Linked DNA regions of Drosophila melanogaster. The protein of the gene in region 1 purifies or fractionates together with the protein of each later gene. This does not show direct contact. Each region holds a gene or a part of one and is shown in the gene's direction. Other genes may lie near its edges. The genes, in order: mtm and Sbf.

Region 1 (5,088 bases):
AACTGATGCAGATACTGGTCTCTCTGCAGTGGCGTTGCAAAGGGAACTGCACAAAACAGGGCGTCAGCAGTGCCTTCTTCCTGTAGTAACTTTTCAAGGGCTTTCTTGAGCGGCTCTATCAGTGCGGCGGGTTCTTGATGATGCAAAAATGTGCGACAAATGCTCTTTAGATCTGCAGACTCCATCTGGTGTATGCAAGGTCGCAAGACCAGCATGACCTCCCGAATCAATTGGGTGTGGGTCTGCGACCACACTGGAATATTCAGCATGTGGATCACCTTCAGAAGAGCCTTAGGGGTTTCGCTGCTGAGGACGCCGCTTTGCATCATTTCAGTCAAGCGCAACTTGAAGCGCGTAAACAGCTCCTCATCAATGAGAAAGTGTAGCTGAAAGAGGCACGTGGACAGAAGGCGAACCTGCTCTGCGCTGCGACACCAATTGATGTGATGTTCCAGGTGCGGAATAAAGTTCCTACACACAAGCGGAGTGAAGAAGTCGCGTTCCAAGTTGATGCCCACCGAGAGGCGAGACAAGGAGGTCAAGGGAATGACTTCGTCATCAACTTGTGACTCGATTAATTGAAGAGATCTCGTCAGCACGGCCTCCACGACTGCCTCGGAGTTTGGTATATGCATTTTGCGCAGGTACAGGTAGCATCTACTGAGATCATCGATCTCCAGTTGGTGTACATAAGGGGCCAACTTTGGGAGCACGTTAAGCAGCACGCGATCCGTGATGGCATCTTTACTTGCCTGCTCCGCGTCGTGATAGATGTTCCACAGCAGTGAGATTCCCATCACCACATGGGAGCTCTGCAGGCCGTCACAGCTCTCCAACACATCTAAAATCTGGTTACCCGTCTTGGCCTCCTCCAGTCGGGTTAGAAGAGCATCCTGTTCCCGTGGCACGCCAAACTTGTCTTGGAGATCTCCGTTCACCAGCTGCGAGTGCTTCCTCAGTTTTTGGCCCAATGCCGGCAGCAAGGCAGCTGTTTGGATGGGCGGCTTTGCGCCAATGTTAACGTGCCGTCGCAGGAGCTGAAGCTGACGCACTCGCAGAAGGTATTGTAGGTACTTCCATTGTGTCCGCGGCAGGTGGTTCAGATACATGCCACTTTATCTCACGCTTATTCAGAAATCGTTGAATAATAACAAAATTACGCCGTATAAACATGTGAGTGAATTTTTGGCGATCAGCTGGTGTCGGTGTTGCCATGAAATCCTAATTTCCATTATACTGAAACCAATAATGGAATCAATGTGTAAAAAAAAACTTAAAATAATTTCTGAACTGTGATTAGCGGTATACAAGTTAGATAAGTAATTACTTAATTCGTAAGTAATTTGTTTATTTCGTCAAAAGTTTCATAGTGGCAACTCTAGTTTTCAACAGGTTGTTGACGAGTTGACATTTCTGTTTGTAAGCAACAGCTGATAAGCAGCTGACCCTAAATAATTTAATAGGCTAGAGCGTTATCGTTGTTAAACAACTAAACAATGGCATACACTGATCCTGCGCAACGAAACCAGGTGACCGTGCTCCAGGTCGGCTATTCTCGCCAAGAAGAAGGAGACGAGTCCGCCATGCGGGCTAACTGCACATGCACACTGGTCCGCTGCCGGGATGGCACCAACATAATCGTGGACACACTGACGGCCTGGGATGGAGATCACCTGCGTTCGTTGTTGGGCCAGCAGGGACTAGGCGTCGATGACATCCACGTGGTGGTCTGCTCTCACGGACACTCTGACCACATCGGTTGCAACTATCTGTTTCAGAAGGCACGAATGCATTTGGTCGGCGCATGTGCCTCACATCACGACCTCTACATGGACCACCTTGGTAGTGGTAATCCAGACGAGCAACTGGCCCTAGATTCGAATGCCGAGGTGGTAGTGAGGCGGTCGCCAGGACACACCCTCAGCTGCGTTTCAGTTCTTGTGGAAAATTCCCAGCTGGGTGGACGGGTCGGTATCACCGGAGATCTCTTCGAGCGTCGCGAGGACATCGACGATGAGAACATTTGGATGGACGCTGGAAGCGAAAACGAGAAGGTGCAGCGCGAGGAGCGCAGTAAAATGGCACAACTGTGCGAGTTTATAATCCCAGGACATGGTCCGATGTTTTCTGTCACACAATCAATGCGCTGTAAACTTAAAGAAGACGCCACTTCTAACACTTAATTTATTAAGCATTAAATACATATGTTAGAGATTTTTTTAAAAGCGGAATTGTTCTAGCTTTCCTTGATTACCAGTTAAATGTCTGAAATAAGTTGATTAATTCCAATACATAAAAATCAAATTTTCCGCCACTACATAATGTCCCTTTGGTACTTTTGTCGGAGGAATGGGAAATTATTCCAGATGATTTTATATTGCGTGAGTTGGCAGCACTGCTGCATGAGTTTTGGTGAATTGCATTTAGCTAACAATTGGAAAAGAAAACACAGCTGCAACCAGCAACACAATAGCCAAACACCACTCGTGTCCATCCGAAAATGGATCCCTCCGCGAGCCTGGCCGACAAGTTGGCCTCCAAGACTGCCAGCAGCAACTCTCTGGACAGCAGCTCCAAGTCCAGTTCGCTGGGCTCCAAGCACGGTGGCGGAGAAAACGGCATTCTGCGGGACACGCCCTTCGGCTATCTGGAGGGCGAAGAGGACCAGGACCAGAAGAACGACGTGACCTACGTGTGTCCGTACCGCGGCCCCGTCTTCGGCGCTCTTACCATAACCAACTACCGTCTGTACTTCCGGTCGCTTCCCCTGCGGGATCAGGAGCCGCCCGTCGTCGTCGACGTGCCTCTGGGCGTGATCGCGCGTGTGGAGAAGATTGGAGGTGCCACGTCTCGCGGTGAGAACTCGTACGGCATCGAGATTTTCTGCAAGGACATGCGAAACCTGCGATTCGCCCACAAGCAGCAGAATCATTCGCGGAGGACGGTGTTTGAGAAACTGCAGGCCAACGCCTTTCCGCTCTCGTACAGTGGGCGCCTCTTTGCATTCGCCCACGCCGCGGCCAACTCTGTGAACGGTAACGGAGGCTGGGACGGCTGGGCGGTATATGAACCGCTGGCGGAGCTGCGCCGCTTGGGCGTTCCCAACGATATGTGGCGGGCGACCAAGCTAAACGAGTCCTACGCAATTTGCGACAGCTATCCGGCCGTGTGGGCTGTGCCCAAAGCGGCCTCCGATGATTTCCTGAGGCGCGTGGCACAGTTCCGATCGCGCTGCCGCCTGCCGGTTTTGTCCTGGATGAACCCACGGACTCAAGCGACCATTACAAGGTGTTCCCAGCCGCTGGTGGGTGTAAGTGGCAAGCGAAATTCCGACGATGAAGCATACCTAAGCTTTATCATGGAGGCGAACGCCCAGTCAGACAAGTTGACCATCATGGATGCGCGACCAAGCGCCAATGCGATTGCTAACAAGGCCAAGGGCGGCGGCTACGAGTCAGAGGACGCGTACAAGAACGTGGAAATCAACTTCCTCGACATACACAACATCCACGTGATGCGGGAGAGCCTACGCAAAGTGAAGGAGGCTTGCTTCCCCACCACCGACGACTCAAAGTGGCAGACGGCTATTGACAACACACTGTGGCTAAAGCACATTAGGTGCATCCTGGCCGGCGCCGTTAGGATTGTTGACAAGGTGGAGACCATGAGCACCTCCGTCGTAGTTCACTGCTCCGACGGCTGGGATCGCACAGCCCAGCTGACTGCTCTTTCCATGTTGCTGCTCGATCCGCACTATCGCACAGTGCGCGGTTTCGAGGTTCTCATTGAGAAGGAGTGGCTCTCCTTTGGCCACAAGTTCCAACAACGCATTGGTCACGGCGACAACAAGCACTCGGATGCAGACAGATCTCCGGTGTTCCTGCAATTTATCGATAGCGTCTGGCAGGTTAGCCAGCAGTTCAACAACGCATTTGAGTTCAACGAGCACTTCCTGATAACCATCGTGGATCATCTGTACTCGTGCCGCTTCGGCACCTTCCTCTGCAACACGGAGGCCGAGCGTGTGGCCGAAGGTTAGACTGATTGCTGTTTGCATGGGCTTGGAAGTAATTTTCACATTTATTGTAGATCTCAAGCACAAGACAACATCCCTGTGGACGCACATCAACTCGTCGCTGGACCAGTATTTGAATCCACTCTTTCCCTCGTTCACGCACGGCGCCGAGCTAGTGCTGCGTCCGATTGCCAGCGTGAGATCGGTCCGCTTGTGGAAGGGCCTATACTGTCGCTGGAATCCTGGTCTGTGCGCTCCTCAGCATGGCTGCCAGCGAACCCGCGAACTGCTATCCAAGCAGGACCAGCTCTTTAAGCTCGTCAACGAGCTGCGGCTCAAGTCGAACAACCGCAGCAACAGCATGCAGACAACTACGCGACTGGCCTCGCCTATGCACTAATAGTATTGCTTTTTTATTCCCCCTACTTGTACGCATATGTAGTGCACGTATTGTGAACTACGTTCTAATTCCAAATAAAAGTTTTTCTTAAATGGAAAACTAGTCGATTCAACATTGTATCATTGAACCACATTATCGAATCTAATTAAAGTGTTAAATGTCTGAGAATGTTTTAATTATTTCATGAATAACATCATATAGTTCAAATCGTATAGCGTTTTCGCAGCTCAGTGGAGCTACTTTTATATGTGCCTTAAACTAGTTTGGATGTCAAAAAGATACCTAAACAGGTGACCAACTGTTGCACGCTCCTTGTGATTCATTCATAAACACCGCTTCATAGAGGCGCCTGCGCGTTGGACTACGCACGTTAAATCCCGAATCCCACTTTTGACACCACAGGACACAAAACATTTCGGCTTTGCGCCAAAATTAAATCACAGCTGCCTCAGTACGACATCGCACGTTCATTGGGACAGACGTGTTCCGATTTCCGGTAGGAAAAGGGCAGGTGTTTGTAAAATATCAGGAAATGCGTTCGGAACTCTTAGAGTTCCGCAATAGATATTAGTTATGCCTACTAGGATATGTGTGCTGTTTGGGCTTCTGTGCCTCGCAAGCTTATGCTGCGGTAGTAACAAGCCAGGAGAGGTGCTCCTGGTTATCGCCTGTC
Region 2 (5,284 bases), on another chromosome or scaffold:
TGCATATTTTCTATTTACCGCATAAAAATTGGGTTTTGGGTTATCTAAGTTGCTGAGTAAACCGGAAGAGGAAATCTCTCTTTTCAAGCCTGCACAAAGTAATTGGGATTTTGTAACAGATCAAATTATGCTGGTAAGTTACTCACTAACAACATTCATATCATATCATTTCATTCATTTTCTCGGAATATGTGTGTTTAACTTACTTTAATATCTGCAAGCAAGTAAACCCTATTTCAACGGAATCAAATAAAATGGTAAGCCTTAAAACGAAGTAAAATTATAAAATAAGGGTAGTATCCACGCATGAAGTAGTACTATGGGCCTTTTTGAAGTAGAAGAAATACTTAATAATTTCAGTGGAAGATTGAAGTAGAGTATTGCCAGTTTAAAATATCTATCTATACATAATTTTGTAATCTCAAGATTAATGTTTAAAAAGCCTGCCGAGAAAGATTTCACGGATAAAGCATTATCAAATAATGGAGATAGTTCAAAGCAATCACCGAGCATTAAATTCAAAGCAAATAAAGTGGCAGATGTAAATAGATCTCCTCAGACGGCCAAGAGGTGCTCGAAAATAAGGTTTGCTAACGAAGTTGGAGTAAATGGTTCGCCCACTCGAACGAAATGTAAAATAAAACCAGAAAATGTATTGGGTTACTCTATAGAGGATGTGGATGAAACAACAAATCCAGAATCGCTGGCTGAGGTATGTAAAACTGATGCAAACTTTTGATTAATATCTATTGTCAACGAGCTTACAACGCATTATGAATCATTAACTCTCAAAGTTAACATACACATTTTCTCTCCTATCTTGTAAATCCCAAATAAGAGCATTCAAAAGCCGAAGTCGGTGCGATTGGTACGTTTAGAATATTTTAATTACATAACCCCTTATTTCAATCAAGATATAATATCTACCGATTTGATTGATTTACAGCCCAGGGAACGTGTTATTGACATGTCACCGGAGGATCAGAAGCAATGGGAGCTCGAGGAAATGTTGAAGCCCATCGATTTGCAGAAGGCCAATGTCCACATCGATCCCTCGCCATTTCAGCTGGTGGAACGCACCTCCATACTCAAGGTTCACTCGTTGTTTTCCATGGTGGGTATTAACCACGCCTATGTCACCAAAATCGGAAGACTTGTTGGTGTCGTGGGACTCAAAGAAGTAAGTCTTGTTTGATATCCTTGATGATTATAACAATAACACATGTTTTATTAAACAGTTGCGAAAAGCCATCGAGGACATTAATAGCAATAGTTTCGTGCCCCCCACACGGGATGAGGATGCGGATGAGAAGCCGGCGGTGGAGAAACCTCTGCTGTCGACGAACTCTAGTGATAAGGCCGTGGACATGACCGTCACCTCCATGGACTCGGCACTATCCAATTCCGAGAACTGTTCGGACATTGAAATGGAGCACATAAAGCACACGGATAAGGGCACTGTATCGCTCACCATGCCGCCACAGGAATCTAAGCAAAGTCCATCGGCGGACAAAAGTAACACAGAAAACGGAAATCATGCTTGAAACAAGATGATCGGCCATCATAATAGTTAATACGATACGTATACGTAATATGTTTGTAAAGATCAGCTAAACACATCTATCTTAAGTTACGTCTTACACGAGTTAGTCATCAATGTTATTATGTATTTATATCTCGTTAGTTCATAATGTGAAAAATATCGTGATTTATATTTAAGTTGAAAAGAAAATCAAGTCACCAACGAAGGCTGCGTTTGATTTTTATTTATATACTGGGGAGTATTAATGTAGTATACAAGTTTCCTATTTTTCCAACAGATTAATTATATTATAATTTCCCCAAAATTGTTTAATGAATATTTAAGGCTAAGTGGAAATTAATTTTGCCATTTTCCAATTGATCTTTTAAGTTCGCGCCGATTAATTTGTAGCGCAGTCCGAAACTATCGATACATTCAAAGCGCCAATCAAATATCGACACATTCAATCAGCTGATGCAGAAAGTGTTGGATAATTCGTGAAAATTATTGTGTATTGCATCTATCTTTTTCTATGCGAACTTAAAAATAATTATTATAGCCCCGAATTCTTTGAGATTTGCTGGCAGTTAGCGGGGATTTCGGCTGCAGCCGGCTGCGAGGTGTGTGCGCGGATATATATATATAGATTGGCCAGTCCGATTCCCGGCGAACGATCCCACTTTGCGTGGCGGGGTGTGGTTAAAGAAAAAAGAGTGAAGACCAAGACTCGTAAAGCCTGAAAAACGCCTCCGGGCGCTATAGACAATACAATAACAATTCGGCCCCTCGATCTCCGTGGAGCTAATCATTTATGCCGAGCGCAGAGACGGAGCCTAATTAGCATATCAAATTGGATGACGGCACTGGCGAATAGAATCCATCTGCCGCTGTCCCCTGCTACAAGAACGCAACAGAACAAAAACAAAAAAAAAATCAAAATAAAACATCTTCAACTCTTTGTTCTCCTAGATTTGGCTAGTAAAGAGCCGTAGGATCCTAGACGACTGGCCGGCTATGTGGTGGGCAAGATGTCCCGGCTCGCTGATTACTTCGTAATAGTCGGCTACGACAGTGATAAGGAGAGTGAGTACATCCACATGCCCATCAGCCATAATTAGCAATTCTCTGACATTCAACAATTTCCCTTTTCCCAGAAACTGCCAGCAATGTGGGCGGCCAGCCGACGTGCGGCAAGATCGTTCAGCGCTTTCCCGAGAAAGATTGGCCGGACACTCCGTTTATCGAGGGCATTGAATGGGTGGGTGCGCTTGAAACATTCCTCACTTAATTCGAAGCATATCTGAATTTTAACTTATCATTCCGACAGTTCTGCCAGCCGCTCGGCTGGAGTTTATCGTACGAGAAGCAGGAGCCCAAGTTCTTCGTCTCTGTGCTGACGGACATCGATGCCAACAAGCACTACTGCGCCTGCCTCAGCTTTCATGAGACGGTGGCCATCACACAGACGCGCAGCGTCGACGACGAGGATGAGACCATCGGCAGCAGCAGGCTGCTGGGAGCCACACCCTCATCGATGGATGGCATCACAACGACATCCACGCCGGCTTCCATTACGCACCACAGCGTCATGTATGCACCAAAGTGTCTGGTGCTTATATCGCGTTTGGACTGTGCCGAGACCTTTAAAGTGAGTTTAAAAGTCAGACCACCTAAGATACTAAATTAAGCCATTATCTTAATTTACAGAATTGTCTCGGCACCATATACACGGTGTACATTGAGAACCTGGCGTATGGATTGGAGACACTCATAGGAAACATTCTGGGCTGCATCCAAGTTCCTCCAGCGGGTGGACCGCAGGTGCGCTTCTCTATAGGAGCAGGAGACAAGCAGTCGCTCCAGCCTCCGCAGAGCTCCTCCCTGCCCACGACTGGAAGTGGAGTCCACTTCCTCTTCAAGCAGCTGGGCATCAAGAATGTGCTGATACTGCTTTGCTCCGTGATGACAGAGAACAAGATACTGTTTCTTTCTAAGTGTTATTGGCACCTGACGGACAGCTGCAGAGCTTTGGTGGCATTGATGTATCCCTTTCGGTATACTCATGTTTATATACCAATTCTGCCGGCTCCACTCACGGAAGTGTTATCCACACCTACGCCATTTATTATGGGCATACATAGCTCACTGCAAACTGAGATTACGGATTTACTGGATGTTATTGTGGTGGATTTGGATGGCGGCCTCGTTACCATTCCCGAGTCGCTGACGCCGCCTGTTCCTATTCTTCCATCACCGCTGTGGGAACAGACCCAGGACCTGCTCAGCATGATCCTGTTTCCAAACCTGGCGCAGGCCGATCTGGCGTTTCCCACATTAGAGCGGCCTTCAGCTATTGCTAAGACTGACGCCCAGATTGATAAGGAACTTCGCGCCATATTCATGCGCCTTTTCGCTCAGCTGCTGCAGGGATATCGCTCCTGCCTGACTATCATTCGGATCCACCCAAAGCCGGTGATCACCTTCCATAAGGCAGGATTTCTCGGCGCCCGCGATCTGATAGAGAGCGAATTCCTGTTTAGGGTGCTGGACAGCATGTTTTTCACGACGTTTGTCAACGAACGAGGCCCTCCCTGGCGATCCTCCGATGCCTGGGATGAGCTCTACAGCTCAATGAACGAACTGCTCAAATCGGAGGCGCAGAATCGAAATCTCGTAGGTAGAACTCAAAGATTCAAGGGATATTTTAATTTTACCTTTCCTTCCTACTTTCAGATACTCACACATATCCAGGAATTGGGACGAGTTCTATATGAAAATGAGGGCACTCTGGCTCACATCAGCTATGCCCAAAAAGTACTGCGTCCGCCGGAAGGCGCATTCCAGCGTATTCATCAACCAGCCTTTCCGCGCATAAGTTCGGAAAAGGTTGAGCTTATCATACAGGAAGGGATACGAAAGAACGGAGTGCCACAACGCTTTCATGTAACACGTAATCAGCACCGTATCATTCCGATGGGACCCAGGTTACCCGAGGCATTAGATGTGCGTCCCAATGTCCAAAACTCGGCTAGGCGACTGGAGGTGCTGCGGATCTGTGTGTCATACATCTTTGAGAATCGAATTACAGATGCCAGAAAACTGCTGCCGGCTGTGATGCGCACCCTAATGCATCGGGATGCGCGCTTGATCTTGTGCCGCGAGTTCTTTGGATATGTGCACGGCAACAAGGCAGTTCTGGACCATCAACAGTTTGAATTAGTTGTGCGATTCATGAACAAGGCGCTGCAAAAATCATCCGGCATTGATGAGTACACAGTGGCTGCGGCTCTGCTGCCCATGTCCACAATCTTCTGCCGTAAGCTCTCGACTGGAGTAGTGCAATTTGCGTACACAGAGATACAGGATCACGCCATCTGGAAAAACCTGCAATTTTGGGAGTCTACTTTCTTTCAGGATGTCCAAGGTCAAATAAAGGCGTTGTATCTGCTTCACCGACGTCAGAACGAGCATCAAAAGGAGGCCAACTGTGTGCTGGACGAAGTTCCTCTAGAGGAGCCCACGGCGCTTGAAATTACAGCCGAGCAGCTGCGCAAAAGTCCCAACATCGAGGAGGAGAAAAAAGCCGAGCTGGCCAAATCGGAGGAGTCAACTTTGTACAGCCAGGCAATTCACTTTGCGAACCGTATGGTTTCCCTGCTAATTCCACTGGATGTCAATGTGGATGCAGCCAGTAAGCCGAAACCGGCGTTTCGTCTAGAGGAAAATCAGAGTGTTTCCAATAGGTAATACGAGATAAGTTTC

Evidence for each region.
Region 2: the proteins of mtm (region 1) and Sbf purify together in Drosophila melanogaster (affinity purification with western blotting; one study listed by BioGRID). This does not show direct contact.

What each region holds. Positions count from the first base shown.
Region 1 is NT_033779.5:6,034,224-6,039,311, reverse strand, and holds mtm (myotubularin), read left to right. Parts: upstream 1-2,296; 5' UTR 2,297-2,500; coding exon 2,501-4,034; intron 4,035-4,089; coding exon 4,090-4,415; 3' UTR 4,416-4,581; downstream 4,582-5,088. Other genes in the region: CG31643 (uncharacterized protein), read right to left, coding at 1-1,109; CG9117 (uncharacterized protein), read left to right, coding at 1,497-2,183; CG9109 (uncharacterized protein), read left to right, coding at 4,989-5,088.
Region 2 is NT_033777.3:11,793,702-11,798,985, reverse strand, and holds the start of Sbf (SET domain binding factor), read left to right. Parts: upstream 1-2,037; 5' UTR 2,038-2,142; intron 2,143-2,491; 5' UTR 2,492-2,550; coding exon 2,551-2,605; intron 2,606-2,676; coding exon 2,677-2,780; intron 2,781-2,849; coding exon 2,850-3,170; intron 3,171-3,229; coding exon 3,230-5,265; intron 5,266-5,284. Other genes in the region: ClC-a (chloride channel-a), read left to right, coding at 89-133, 222-257, 443-712, 839-868, 947-1,180, 1,239-1,544.